Anolis sagrei: one gene and its partner. The main gene of each other region encodes a partner of the protein of the gene in region 2 in a complex. Links are inferred from orthologs where the notes say so. Each region holds a gene or a part of one and is shown on either strand. Other genes may lie near its edges.

Region 1 (7,656 bases), on a different chromosome or scaffold from region 2:
ATATTACAACAATTTGCCCCTCAGCTCTGGATGGAAAGTGTCAATACTTTAGAAGTGATTCCTTGCTCTTCATGCAGGGACTATCAGGTCCTGTTGAACTACTATGATACAACATATGGACAGAGAGATGTATATACATTAATTTATGTCTAGGAGTATACTTAAGACTAATTTACGACAATTATTCAGTTTATCTTTTTATCCTTTGTCACCAAGCACAAAGCAGCTGCACACAATAACATCCTGCAGAAACTTACTGGCAGCGCATGGGGAGCAGACCCACAATTAATAAGTACATCAGCTCTGGCAAGCGAGGTTTATATATCTGAGGAATGTCCAGGGTGCCTGACAAGTGTTTTAATGTGTTATATTTTAACTATGTTGCTCAGGCTTGTCCCCATGTAAGCCGCTCCAAGTCCTTTCGGGGAGATGGAGGTGGGATACAAAAATAAAGTTGTTGTTGTTGTTGTTGTTGTGAATGTTGCAACTGGCCACTTTGATTAGCACTGAATGGCCATGCCTGGCTGGTTGCTGCCTGGAGGGATCCTTTTGCTTTGGCTTTGAAGCTGCAAGGCCATTAAATGCTAATCAAGGCGACCAATTGCAACATTCACACTTGCCTCAAACAGACAAGAGTTCTTTCTCCCACCCTGGACATTCCACAGATATATAAACTCCCCTTGCCTTGTTTCCAACAGATCTCACAACCTCGGAGGATTTTTTTTTGTCGTGTCAGGAGCGACTTGAGAAACTGCAAGTCGCTTCTGGTGTGAGAGAATTGGCCGTCTGCAAGGACATTGCCCAGGGGACGCCCAGATGATTTGATGTTTTTATCATCCTTTTGGGAGGCTTCTCTCATGTCCTCGCATGAGGAGCTGGAGCTGATAGAGGGAGCTCATCTGCCTCTCCCCAGATTCGAACCTGCGACCTGTCGGTCTTCAGTCCTGCCAGCACAGGGGTTTAACCCACAGCGCCACCGGGGGCTCCATACCTCTGAGGATGCCTGCTATAGATGGGGGTGAAACGTCAGGAGAGAATGCTTCTGGAACATGGCCATACAGCCTGGAGAAACTCACAGCAACCCAGTGATTTTGGCCACGAAAGCCTTTGGTAACAGATTATTTGGATACACATAGAGAGAGATCTTGGAGAAAGGTCCCCAGTCTTAACAGGAAATTAATTGATGCTTATTTATTTATTTATTTATTATAGTGTTTATATTCTGCCCTTCTCACCGTGCAGGGGACTCAGGGCAGATTACAATGTACATATACATGGCAAACATTCAATGCCATAGACTCACAACATATATACACAGACACATTGAGGCTATTTAACATTCCAGCTTTTTGATGAGGATATTCTGGCCACCAGGGGAGCTGTCGCTTCACCGTCCATTTGTGACATTGATGAAGTACTTCCTCATTCTTTGCATGCTCGCTGGAGATTTTTAAGGCATCGTATATTTTATTTATTTATTTATTCATTTATTTCTAAATCAAACTTATATGCCGCCACTCCCCTGGGGCTCAGAGCGGCTTACAAGAACAGGCTAAAATCTAACACAATTTAAAAACAATTTAAAACAATTTAAAAACAATTTAAAACAACAATATCAGAGATCAAAGGCCTGTCGAAACAGATATGTCTTACACGCCCTGTGGAAAGCTGATAGGTCCTGGCAGAGTATTCCAGAGTGAAGCCTCCCCGTATAAGCGGTACCTAAATTTCCTACTTGACAGATGCAACTGTCTTTCGGGCTGCAAAGGTCGACATCAAGCTACACAAACTGGTTGGAAGCTTACTCTGACCTGGGTTGGCTTAAAACTCAAGACCTTTAGGTCAGTGGTGATCTTAATGCAGCTGACTCCCAGCCAGCTGCGCCACAGTCCTGGTGCTTGCCATGCATCCTTCATCCAGGTAACTTTACACACAGTGCTTTTAATAATTTTGAGCATGAAACAAAGTTTGTGTCCACTGAACCATCAGAATGCAGAGGTGTCACTCTCTCTGCTACCAGGGATGTAGATAATTTTGGATTTGGGCGAGTTTTGGAATTCTGGATAAGGGATGCTAAATCAGTTGTCACATTGCTCTCAATGGGCCACTATTTTTTTTCAGGGCTAGGGGTGTATCTACAGTCATAGAGTCATAGAGTCGGAAGAGACCTCATGGGCCATCCAGTCCAACCCCCTGCCAAGGAGCAGGAATATTGCATTCAAAGCACCCCTGACAGTTGGCCATCCTATCATGACCCTAGGCTAAGTTCCAAAGAAGGAGCCTCCACCACACTCTGGGGCAGAGAATTCCATTGCTGAATGGCTCTCACAGTCAGGAAGTTCTTCCTCATGTTTAGATGGAATCTCCTTTCTTGTAGTTTGAAGCCATTGTTCCGCATCCTAGTCTCCAAGCTTGCTCTCTCCTCCCTGTGACTTCTTCTCACATATTTATACATGGCTATCATGTCTCCTCTCAGCCTTCTCTTCTTTGGGCTAAACATGCCCAGCTCTTTAAGCCGCTCCTCATAGGGCTTGTTCTCCAGACCCTTGATCAGACCCTTGTAGAACTAATGCAGCTTGACACCACTTTTAAGTGCCATGGGCTCAACGCTATGCAATCCTGGGAGTTGGGGGCGCATCAGGGCATTTGGTAGAGAAGGCTAAAGCCCTTCTAAAACTACATCTCCCGAGATTCCATAACAGTGAACGTTTGAGGTTAAAACGGTGTCAATCTGCATTAATTCTCCAGTACAGATACAGGTCACACTGTCTCAGCCTCAGAGGAAGCTAGAATTGCAGGGAAGGAAGAGAGGATGACCCTCTGCCCCCTCCCCGGCCAGATCGAGGAAGGCGAGCCATCTGCTCTGAAGCATCTCCAAGGAACTCACCCTCTGTAGGAAGGGAAGGGACCGGGGCGCTGGATCTCGGTCGAGGCGGTCAGGTCCACTCCAGGCTCTTTTCCGAAGCCCCCGCCCTGTTACGCTGCTGCCTCCTCCCAGTGCGCAGGCGCAGTCCCAACCCCAGACACCCGACCCTCTCCTTCGCTCCAAGTAAGGAGAAGCAGCGCTCGGGGCAGCCCCGGCCCCGCCCACAGTTTGGAATGTGCAGCCCGCGGCCAACCAATCCGAGAGGAATCTCCACCTTTGCCCGGCGGCTATTGGTCGAGACGCCTCAAGAGCTAGCCAATGGGATTCGGGAAAGTCGAGGATACAATTCAGCAGCTCAAGGGAAGGAAGTGAAGGCAAAGTTGTGCCGGGGAGTGCAACAACATTGTGGAATGGCTACACTTTGACACCGCTTTAATTGCCATGGCTCAGGACTAAGGAATCGCGAGAGTTACAGTTTGATGAAATGGTTGCAGCAAAGTTGAGGCCAGTAATGAAATAAAAGGGCACACGCTTCTCATTTCTATCAGCCCATTATAACATAAAGAGGAAGTTAGCCCAGGGTCATGATTCTGCAATGATGCCACTGTCATAAGGTATTAGATAAGGGCATGGTAGGCGTAAGGCAAGGCTGCATCCTCTCACCCAACCTTTTTAACTTGTATGCAGAACACATCATGTGATGTGCGGGGCTTGATGAATGCAAGGCTGGGGTGAAAATTGCTGGAAGAAACATTAACAACCTCAGATATGCAGATGACACCACTCTGATGGCCGAAAGCGAGGAGGAGCTGAGGAGCCTTCTAATCAAGGTGAAAGAAGAAAGCGCAAAAGCTGGGTTGCAGCTAAACATAAAAAAACCAAGATTATAGCAACAAGAATGATTGACAACTGGAAAATAGAGGGAGAAAATGTGGAGGCCGTGACAGACTTTGTATTTCTAGGTGCAAAGATTACTGCAGATGCAGACTGTGGCCAGGAAATCAGAAGACGCTTACGTCTTGGGAGGAGAGCAATGTCCAGTCTCGATAAAATAGTAAAGAGTAGAGACATCAGACTGGCAACAAAGATCCGCCTAGTCAAAGCCATGGTATTCCCTGTAGTCACCTACGGATGTGAGAGCTGGACCTTAGGGAAGGCTGAGCGAAGGAAGATCGATGCTTTTGAGCTGTGGTGTTGGAGGAAAGTTCTGAGAGTGCCTTGGACAGCGAGAAGATCCAACCAGTCCATCCTCCAGGAAATAAAGCCCAACTGCTCATTGGAGGGAAGGATACTAGAGACAAAGTTGAAGTACTTTGGCCACATCATGAGGAGACATGAAAGCCTAAAGAAGACAATTATGCTGGGGAAAGTGGAAGGTAAAAGGAAGAGGGGCCGACCAAGGCCAAGATGGATGGATGGCATCCTTGAAGTGACTGGACTGACCTTGAAGGAGCTGGGGGTGGTGACGGCTGACAGGGAGCTCTGGCGTGGGCTGGTCCATGAGGTCACGAAGAGTCGGAGACAACTGAACGAATGAACAACAACAAGGAGGGTAATGGAAACCAGTTTATTGCCTTCGTTCATTCTTCTGCCTCCTCCTCCTCCTGCATCCTTCGTTCATCCTCCAGAATACTGAAATGTTCGGATAGAGTGATGCCAGGACAATGGGAGGTAATATTATTTAAAGCAGGGATCCTCAAACTAAGGCCTGGGGGCCAGATCTGGCCCTCCAAGGTAATTTATTTATTATTATTATTTATTTATTTCGGGCACTTCTACCCCGCCCTTCTCAACCCCTGGGGGGACTCAGGGTGGCTTACAACCGGCACAATTCGATGCCAACAATTCAACAGATAAAATACATAACAGCAATAGCCACAATAGTTAAAAACAATCAATTAATACAATAACAACTAAAAAGACAATCTAGTGGTCAACGTTCACCGAGTTCTAAAATCCGTAAGTCCATTCAGCATTACCATAGCCCTTTCCAAATTCTGGTTGTCATTACCTTATCAGTCTGTCAGATTACCCAAAGGCCTGGTCCCATATCCATGTTTTCAGCCTCCTTCTGAAGGAGAGGAGGGATGTTGATGACCTAATTTCCCCAGGGAGTGAATTCCACAAGCGAGGGGCCACCACTGAGAAGGCCCTGTCCCTCGTCCCCACCAGTCTCACTTGTGATAGAGGCGGGGCCGAGAGCAGGGCCTCCCCAGAAGATCTTAAACTCCGAGGTGGGACATAAAAGGAGATACGTTCGGACAGGTACTCTGGGCCGGAGCCGTATAGGGTTTTATAGGTCAAAACCAGCACTTTGAATTGTGCTCGGAACTGGATCGGCAGCCAGTGGAGCTGACATAACAGAGGGGTGGTATGTTCCCTGTATGACGCTCTGTTGATTAATCTAGCTGCCGCCCATTGGACTAGCTGAAGTTTCCGAACAGCTTTCAAAGGCAACCCCACATAGAGCACGTTGCAGTAATCTGTTCGGGATGTAACAATTTACCCGGCCCTCGCTCAGGGTCAACCTAAGTCTGAAACTACTTGAAAGCACACAACAACAACAATCTTATCTCATCAGCCAAAAGCAGGCCCACACTTCCCGTTAAAATATTAATACGTTTATATTTGTTAAAATTGTTATTCATTTCAATTATTGTATTGTTTTTAAGTGTTTTTACACTACAAATAAGATATGTGCAGTGTGCATAGGAATTCATTCATTTTTTTCCCAAATTTTAATCCGGCCCTCCAACAGTTTGAGTGACTTTGACCTGGCCCTCTGTTTAAAAAGTATGATGACCCCTGATTTAAAGCATATTGTTGACTACTGAAAGTAAACTGGTGGAATATGAACCTTTTCTTCTGGCAGGCCTACCCAATCATTTTTAAACTATGATTTTTACATTTATCCTATATTACTATGGCATTTTAAACTTTGTACCATGTATTTTAATGTATGTGTTTTATAGAATGTAATATATATAGTAAGGTAAAGGTTTTCCCCTGACATGAAAGAATTCATGAAGAAGAAGAAGAAGAAGAATTCAAACAAATAGCCAACAGCTGTAGGGAAAAGGTCCGCAAGGCTAAAGCAAAAAACGAGCTCAGACTTGCCAGGGACATTAAAAACAATAAAAAGGCCTTCTATTCTTATGTCAGTAGAAAAAGGAAAAACAAGGAGGCGATAGGACCTCTTTGAGGAGAAGATGGGGCAATGCTGACAGGGGATAGGGAAAAGGCAGAACTACTTAATGCCTTCTTTGCCTCGGTCTTCTCACAAAAAGAGAGTCTTCAACCTCAGCAAGATGGAGTGGATGAGGGATTGGAGGACATCCAACCCCAAATTGGGAAAGAATTCGTCCAGGAATACCTGGCCGCTCTTAATGAGTTCAAGTCCCCAGGGCCAGATCAACTACACCCAAGAGTACTGAAGGAACTAGCGGAAGTCATTTCGGAACCATTGGCAACCATCTTTGAGAGTTCTTGGAGAACGGGAGAAGTTCCAGCAGATTGGAGGAGGGCCAATGTGGTCCCAATCTTCAAGAAGGGAAAAAAGGACGACCCAAACAACTACCGTCCGGTCAGCCTCACGTCGATACCGGGCAAGATTCTGGAAAAGATTGTTAAGGAAGCGGTCTGCAAACACTTAGAAACAAATGCAGTCATCGCTAATAGTCAACATGGATTTATCAAAAACAAGTCATGCCAGACTAATCTGATCTCTTTCTTCGATAGAGCTACAAGCTGGGTAGATGCGGGGAATGCCGTGGATGTAGCGTACCTGGATTTCAGTAAGGCCTTCGACAAGGTCCCCCATGACCTTCTGGCAAGGAAACTAGTCCAATGTGGGCTAGGCAAAACTACGGTGAGGTGGATCTGTAATTGGTTAAGTGGACGAACACAGAGAGTGCTCACTAATGCTTCCTCTTCATCTTGGAAAGAAGTGACAAGTGGAGTGCCGCAGGGTTCCGTCCTGGGCCCGGTCCTGTTCAACATCTTTATTAATGACTTAGATGAAGGGCTAGAAGGCATGATCATCAAGTTTGCAGACGACACCAAATTGGGAGGGATAGCCAATAGTCCAGAGGACAGGAGCAGGATTCAAAACGATCTTGACAGATTAGAGAGATGGGCCAAAACTAACAAAATGAAGTTCAACAGTGACAAATGCAAGATACTCCACTTTGGCAGAAAAAATGAAATGCAAAGATACAGAATGGGTGACGCCTGGCTCGAGAGCAGTACGTGTGAAAAAGATATTGGAGTCCTCGTGGACAACAAGTTAAACATGAGCCAACAATGTGATGTGGCGGCAAAAAAAGCCAATGGGATTTTGGCCTGCATCAATAGGAGCATAGTGTCTAGATCGAAGGAAGTAATGCTACCCCTCTATTCTGCTTTGGTTAGACCACATCTGGAATATTGTGTCCAATTCTAGGCACCACAATTCAAGAGAGATATTGACAAGCTGGAATGTGTCCAGAGGAGGGCGACTAAAATGATCAAGGGTCTGGAGAACAAGCCCTATGAGGAGCGGCTTGGGGAGCTGGGCATGTTTAGCCTGAAGAAGAGAAGGCTGAGAGGAGATATGATAGCCATGTATAAATATGTGAGAGGAAGCCACAGGGAGGAGGGAGCAAGCTTGTTTTCTGCTTCCTTGGAGACTAGGACGCGGAACAATGGCTTCAAACTACAAGAGAGGAGATTCCATCTGAACATTAGGAAGAACTTCCTGACTGTGAGAGCCGTTCAGCAGTGGAACTCTCTGCCCCGGAGTGTGGTGGAGG
Region 2 (7,852 bases):
ATTAAATGGAAACTGAGCCTGTTCTCTGCTCTAAGTCCCAGGTAAATGTCTCTTATTCCACATCACCCATATGCAGTTGAACGTTGTCCCCTCTTTCTGGACACTATCACAAGGCTGTAGCATAGAAACCCAAAACTTAGTTCATTTGTGGGAACAAAAAGGACCTGACTTCTAAACCTATCACATGCAGTGAACATCATATGTTGACATGGTCTTCTTAATTCAGTGGAACGTATTGCCAATAAGTTTTTTGTATTTATCAGTGACAAGATTTCTCACTAACCAATGGTAGTCTGGGTGGTGGTGGGTTTTCTTTACCCACAACATCTTTGGAGCTGAAAATACTAGATACTGCACAATGCAACCACGATTTATAACATTACCATAAACCGTGCAGCTGCGGAGCACATATCAAGGTCCATGGACACATTCACATCTTACAGACTGCAAATATGTTGGGCTCCACATGAGGTTTGGTACTGTCTGTATGGTTAATGGAAGTTTGTCCTAACTGAATACCTTCCTAATGTGTTTGATTATAACTGCCACATTCCTGCAGCATTACATAGATATCTGTAGGGTTATTGGGAATGTTGTTGTGTGCCTTCAATTATGACTTATGGTGACCCTAAGGAGTACCTATCATGGAGTTTTCATAGCAAGATTTGCTTTGGCCTTCTTCTGATGCTGAGAGGGTGTTGAAGGCTTCCTAGTGAGTTTCCATGACTGAGCAGGGATTAGTACCTTGGTCTCCAGAGTCATAATCCAACGCTCAGACCACTACATTGTGCTGGCATTCTTATTGGGGGGGGGGGGGGGTTGGTCTTCTGCAGGGGTTCTCAACCTTTGGTCCTCCATGTGTTTTGGACTTCAGCTCTTATAATTCCTAACAGCTGGAAAGCTGGCTGGGATTTCTGGGACTTGAAACCCAAAACACCTGGAGGACCAACGGTTGAGAACCACTGGTACTGCATTTCTAGAAAATGAGATTGAGAAAAGCTAATGTACATGATTTGTTTGAATGGGATCTGGGGGCTGCTTTATGTGTGACACTTGCCTAGTTCCTGCCACTCATCATCCTTACTCTGAGATACAGGCTAAGTTGGAAGGTCTCTTGTACATACCTTTGTTCTGTCTACACCAGGTCTGCACAACTTGCGGCCCTCCAGGTGTTTGGAACTCCAGCTCCCAAAAAACCTAGCCAGCTTGTTCAATATTCAGAAATTCTGGGAGTTGAAGTCAAAAACATATGGAGGGCCACAGGTTGTGCAAACCTGCCCTATATAATAGCGCCTAAGATGTATGCACCTAATAGTGCATATATCTTGCCCACACACCTGTCTTGTGTGTGTGTGGCAGATGGAATGAGTAAATGATTTCTGCACTTTGGCTAGCTGGCATATTGAAGCCTGGAATTCTCCCACATGTCACTATCTAGAATGCAGACATGGTCAGTGGCCCTATGTTAATTAACCAAAATGTCACTTATGACGCAGACCGAAGTCTCTCTGAAATATATCCAGTTTAAATGGTCTTATCTTAAGCAGCTCTTAAGCCCATTTGATTTGGTTTGGACTGTGCTGGCAAGCTAGCTGCATACCCAAGCTTTCCTGAAGAATGCACACATGAGTATCTCTCAGCAGTTAAGGGAATATATCTCTTTACCCCGAGTGAATACACTCCAGCTCTGCAGTTGATGACCAGAAATGCCAGTGTCATTCATGTTCACATTGGGGGGGGGGGGGATATCTATATTTTTCTAGGGGTAGAGAACTCCAAATATGCCAAGGGTGTTGTTGGTTTGAAGGAGTCATTGTGGTCCAGGGCTGCACTACAAAGGTCCGTCCCCCCCACCCCACTGCTCTATTCCTATGAATTTCTGCAATAACAAATCTCTTTCTCTTTATCTGGTTCAAACCCAAACTAATTACAACAGTCACAGGAAGGGCAGCACATAACCTTTTCCAGTAAGACATATACATTTAGCCTGCAAAGATTATGCAATTCCAAAACCTTCATTTGGCTTCTTGCAAATTAAGCTCTGGTCTAAAGCCACAGTATGGTCTATCTATCCATCTTCCCAGCCCACAGTTCAAGCAATTCTTAAACAAAACCAAGCCTCGGAGTGCAATATTTATACCTCTCTCTCTCTCTCTCTCTCTCTCTCTATATATATATATATATCAATGTTTGCACATTTAACTTGATAATGCTATGTATACTTTCCTAAGACATAATCACATAGTGTTCACTGGTACTTATTTAGTTGGCAGTGTGTTCAGAATTACAGCTGTAGCTACCGTTCTCCATATGAGACCAATCTTGCTTGGCATACTATTTTCAAATGGTCAACCACCAAATGCCAATGACAAGTAAACAAACAGCACTCTCCTATTCACATAGGGTTTACTTCTGGGTAAATATAAGAAAGGACAGTGGTGCATGATTATTTTTCATTTCAACTGATGAAATGGAAGATTTACATAAGATTACATTGATGTAACTCAGAAAAAAACATTCATATATCTTTGCTTCTGCAAATAAGTAATTAGCGCTTATAGGTGGAGTGAAAAAGCTGTGCACATGCTTCAAAAGAGGAACCCATTGTGAAAGATCCTGCAAAGCATTTCTACTAGATGCAGAAACAAATAAATGCCTAGAAAAACACAATATTATGATTCAAATGCAATTTCACTGTAAGCATCTTGTTAATGTATGGATTATAATAAATTCTAATTCACCACAATTGGAATAAAAATCAGGATTATAACAGCCATTTGAGAAACAAGCCAACTCTGATGAGGTAAACTTACAATCTTGCATAAAAGTCACATATCTCTTTGTACACTTTAACATCACTGTGCCTACGCTGCAATTTTGACACAGCTCTCTCGCCTTCATTTCCATAGTCATTGTGCCCATTTTGTTGAGCGTATGAGACTTCTTCATTTTCTGGAATTGCATAGGAGTGCCCTCTGCTTTGGGATGCCATCCTCAAAATGCTACAGACAAAATCCAACTGCAAAAGAAAGTGCCTAAGAAGCCACAGTCGGTAGAATAGTATGGAGAAAGAGCAATCCTCAGGACTCAGCTGTGTGTGGTATTGAAACCTTCAAGTGAAGTGTTCAACTGCAGAGCAGTTTGAATGTCATAGTGAGGTTGGAAGAGATTCACTGGAAGCAAAGCAACACATTCCATAGCAAGGTGGTAACACTGACTCGGGCGGAACATATGATCCCTGCTATCTGCCACTCTTAGAGAAGGGTTCTGCTAAGGCAATGTTATTTTGGATACATGGAAACTACAGCATGCTAACTGTCACTGGCAGCTTATTGTGGAAAAACTTACTCCATTGTGACGGCGCTTTGTAGTATATAGATCTCATAAACGTTAACGCCTTTGGAAAGATAATGAGGAAATGGGAACAGGTGGTTCAGAAAAAATGGAAAAAAAGAGTCCCTTTACAGATGATTACACTTGTTTCTGAGATCACCTATCTGGAGTCATAATGATTATTTCTCCCTAGATGACAGAATCGGTATGGTTCAAACCAGTCAAGGGCTGGGTCTGCCTTTTTTCCAATAAACAAGAGCACAACGATTGAGGAAGCGAGAAGATCAATGAACATTCTTCATAGGATGCTTGGGCATGGAGCTCCTGGTCATTGTGTCATCCAAAAAGGAATTCATATGACTGTGTACAGAGTTTAACAGAAGTGCACAAACCATGGCCTGTTTCACAATACACAATTACAGCACTATGATTCCACTTTAATTGTCATTGCTCTATTATCGCATAGAATTCTATGGGTTGGTAGTTGGATGAGGCACTACAGCTCTCTGGAAGAGAATTATAAATGGCTCATGGAATTATGGATCCCAGGTTTCCACAGGATGGAAAGATGGCAACTAAAATTTAATCCTACTGTAATAATTGTGCAGTGGGAAACAGCCCATATTTAAGCACTCCTGTCGCATCTTATAGAAAGGGAAGAATACCCACCAAGTGCACTCCCAGCTGTTCATTCATTTTGGAGGAAGAACCAAAGTGTTCATGCTCCACCCCCATAATCACAATTCCACACTTTTTTTTTTGTCGTGTCAGGAGCAACCACTCCTGTTGTGAGAGAATTGGCCGTCTGCAAGGACATTGCCCAGGGGATGCCTGGATGATTTTTGATGTTTTATCATCCTTGTGGGAGGCTTCTCTCATGTCCACACTGAAGGAGGAGAAGTATGCCATAAAGGAGCTTCCTCTCTGCAGATCTTTCTCCATTCACATACTTGTCACAAGTGTAACCCCGCCCTTTCCTCTTCATACAACGTGTGACAAGTGCTCACATACAGTGTCAGTGTACTTCAAATCTTGAAATTTCTTTACAATCCTTGAATAATCCTTTCTATAGTGGTACTCAACGTAAGTAAAACTGGCATTCGTCGCACATTCGTCCACATGCATAGAAAACTTCCCTGTTCAGAAAGTATTAAATGGAATCAAGGTTGTCCTTTTCAGTGGAACATGTTTCTTTGTTGGCTAGGCAGGTTCATATTGGGAAGCTCATAGAATGTCCTAAGAGAAAGTGGGAAGCTGAATTTTATTTTATGGATGAGGACAGGAATTCAATTTTAGGATGAGGAGAGGCTGTGTTCCATTGAGGGTCAAGGCCAGAGACTAAAGAAGGCCAAAAATGGTAGCATATTTCAGTATACAGCTCTAACTTCCAGAACTAAATCTCAGCATAGACATTTTGATTTTTAGAATTAAAAAAACTGTGTGATATCTGGAAAAACACCAAAGGATGGTACGCAGTGGAAGGGGATGTGGTTAACTATGGGGAGCCTGGGGAACAGATTTGACCTTCATGAAGTCCACAAAGGGCTTGATCTTCCCCATTCCTATCCTAAGTGGAAAGAAAAATACAACATTCCTGTTTTATCTCATATCTGTAAACCAATAGGAACATCTATCTCATCTTCTCTTATCTAGCCATCTGACATGAGACAATGCGGCTATACTTACTTCTGATCAGCTGAATGGCAGCTAATACATTTTAAAACAAAGACTAAAGTGTGTAATCCAGAAGACAAGCAAACATAATTCTAGAAGCCTACATTTATAGCATTTGCTACGGTGCAAGGAATGGATTCTGAATCCTTTTCAAACATATCTCAAAACAGGTAATACCACCTTCCTATTGTCAGTGGCATGGCAATATCCACCTTTCCATAAAGCAAAACTGTCATGTTTGAATTGGGTTTGATTATATACCAGGCTTGAAAAGATAAATGAAATAAGTAAACAGAGACATGAATAGATGTTTGAGTACATACTGGGCTTGCTGATGAAAACAATTACTGGGATCGGTGTGCCACACTAAAAGCTTTCTTGGAACAATTATATGTTTTTAAAATCAAGCTACACCGAATAATAAGTTAACCATGTTAAATTAAAATGAAGTTAGGCATCTGGACTAGCAGTGTACAAGGCATGGAAAATTAACCCTCCTCTGCATCATTTTCCACACTGTAAACATCCAAACTATTTTCCTTCAACAGCCTCTTAGAGAGAAACAGCAACTTTAGGAAAATGGCACAAGGAAAAAGGTTCATCTTCCCACATCTTTGTTTTGGTCTCTCTGTTCCCCATAATGCAGTTAAAAAAGAAAAAGAAATAGAAGCATCAGACCTTAACCACACTTCACTGTGTTTAACATGAAATTTGGCCAGGCAATGGACGTCCTTTTATTGAAAGCTGTGGTGGTACAAGCATTGATTAAGCTTATGGGATAAAAGAAAAGACTATTGTGTGGCCTCAGACACAAGTGTGGGTGGGATATTTGTGATAAATAAATAACCTGGATTCTTAAAATTCTCCTCCATCCAACCCAGCAAGCAGCCTAGCCTTGCACACGGTCTAATTATCTCTCACAACATACCCACAAATTAAAGCCTGTCTTCACATCCCTTCTTTGGAGGGACCGTGTGAAAAGACGATCAAGGGCGTCTTCCGGGAGGGTTACCGTTTCCCTGCAATTTGACCGGCCAGGGCAAAACCCTTAAATGTGGTATTTTAGTATAGTTTAATTAAGCATTTGTTAAAGGAAGATCTATGCTGTGTTTATGACTGACACTGATTCAACAGAGACAAGAGGTGAAAGGGGCCAAATATGTAAAATAAAATCTGTGTTTATGTGTGTATGTGGCTTCAAGCCACCTATTGATTTATGGATGCCCCGTGAATTGCATAGTTTTCTTAGCCAAGGAAAACTTAGAGGTGGCTTTGCTAGTTCTTTGCTATGAAATATAGCCTAGAGCACTTGGTAAAGGTAGGAAATGCTTTTAATATGGATTTTTCAAAGCTTGCGGATTGCTTCATACCTGAGACAAAAAGAACTTTATGATTTGTTTTGTTTTGTTTTTTTTAACCTAATGGAGAAATAAAATTGAAACTGACAGATTTGTTCATCCAGGTTAAGGCTTTAAGTACTTAACTCATAAAAGACTGGGTTTGAATTCCTGTTTATTCAACCAATGTTAGTGCTGAATTATGGCTACCACTATGGATTTAGGAGGCCTGAGTTCAAATCCCTCTTCTACCTGCCCATTTTTTCCTGAAGGACCTTCTTACCTTCTAGCAGAAAGATACAATATGTCGTTCCTCTCTATGCTTAGAAATGTTGTATCTAGCCACCTGGAACTATTTATTTCAGTTCAGTTTTAGAAGAGTTAATCAAAATTTGTAAATGTGCTCATACTTAGGGTGAAAAGTTGTTTTTTTTAAACAAGCTTGTTCACCCTCTACTTAAGGTCTGACTTGTCATTAACTGAAATATAGCTATTAGATGTTTCTGGCATATTGTTTGGATTACAAACTGAGGGACGGCTGGAAATCATCTTTTCTACATGCAACAAAGCCAGTTATATGCCTTGAACTGGTTTTACCCTTACTTCTTAATGAATGCCTCTAGGAACCAGTGTGCTGCAGTGAACATGGACTCAGGAGAACTGAGTTCAAATTCCTATTTTGTTATGAAATCTGTCAGATGGTCTTTGGCCAGTCTCTAAATTATTGCAATTTTTTGCAAGGATAAACTGGAGTGTGTCCAAAACTCCTTCAAGGAATTTCAAAACACAGAGGAGAAACAGATGGATCCTGAGAGTGATGTGTGGCTTAAGCATTCCTGTTTCTATTCCTACAATAGTGTTTCATTTTTTCTTGCTTTTCAGTCCTTCTAGACCAGTGGTTCCCAACCTGTGGTCTGCAAGAACTAAAATATGGTCCACAGCCTCACAGTTACACTGTCACAACAAGAGCAATTGGTCTTGTGAAACCTTTATAATGTCGAGGCACATTAAATATGTTTTTCTGTGGGTGAGCAGATGGCGACTACTAGATGGCATATGTTCTGTATCAACACTAGAGCTGAGGTGGTCTATCCAATGCAATTTTCTGAATCAGCACCACAAATGACCAAACCAAACTGAAAGTTGACTAAAAACTGATTCATAACCCTTTTGGTACTAATGTTAGAGAGTGGTCCCTGGTCAAAGTGGTCCCTTGTCAAAAAAGGTTGGGAACCATTGTTTTATACCTTCAGCCCTTGTGGGCACTTGGATTTACATTAGGATTTCAAAGCTTTAGACCGCATTTGCAAGAATCCCCAAATCAATATGGCCCCTGACTAGGCTCTTTCACCTATCCTTAAGATTAAGAATATTCACTACAAAAGCAACGTCTGAGATTCAGATACTGGGATCTTGTTATAATTTTCCTGAATTAACTATGATGGGACTGTAAATCTTATAGGATACAATGCAATTTCCCTACAATATTTCAAATAGTTCCCCATTCT

The links. The genes of interacting proteins can lie anywhere in the genome.
Region 1: the proteins of LIMS1 (region 2) and RSU1 are in contact, whole or in part, in a crystal structure (PDB 7LT9), measured with the Homo sapiens proteins. The link is inferred for Anolis sagrei from reciprocal best matches to the Homo sapiens genes LIMS1 and RSU1. Residues at the interface, in NP_001180417.1 of Homo sapiens: Cys252, Phe253, His254, Cys255, Asn256, Leu267, Asn268, Lys269, Ser279, Thr280, Cys281, Asn282, Thr283, Glu293, Phe294, Asp295, Met296, Lys297, Cys303, Lys306, Phe307, Pro308, Glu310, Leu311, Arg314, Leu315, Lys317, Leu318, Ala319; in NP_036557.1 of Homo sapiens: Asp21, Ser23, Asp24, Gln44, Val46, Ser48, His49, Val67, Asn69, Phe71, Asn72, His90, Asn92, Met95, Glu112, Asp115, Thr117, Tyr118, Arg137, Ala138, Tyr140, Ser142, Asp143, Ile161, Ser163, Arg165, Asp166, Glu184, His186, Gln188.

The regions. Positions count from the first base shown.
Region 1 is NC_090026.1:105,612,124-105,619,779, forward strand, and holds the start of RSU1 (ras suppressor protein 1), read right to left. Parts: upstream 3,040-7,656; 5' UTR 2,888-3,039; intron 1-2,887. UniProt on the Homo sapiens protein: Potentially plays a role in the Ras signal transduction pathway. Capable of suppressing v-Ras transformation in vitro.
Region 2 is NC_090023.1:107,196,329-107,204,180, reverse strand, and holds the start of LIMS1 (LIM and senescent cell antigen-like-containing domain protein 1), read right to left. Parts: upstream 3,067-7,852; 5' UTR 2,993-3,066; coding exon 2,814-2,992; intron 1-2,813. UniProt on the Homo sapiens protein: Within the IPP (ILK-PINCH-PARVIN) complex, binds to F-actin, promoting F-actin bundling, a process required to generate force for actin cytoskeleton reorganization and subsequent dynamic cell adhesion events such as cell spreading and migration.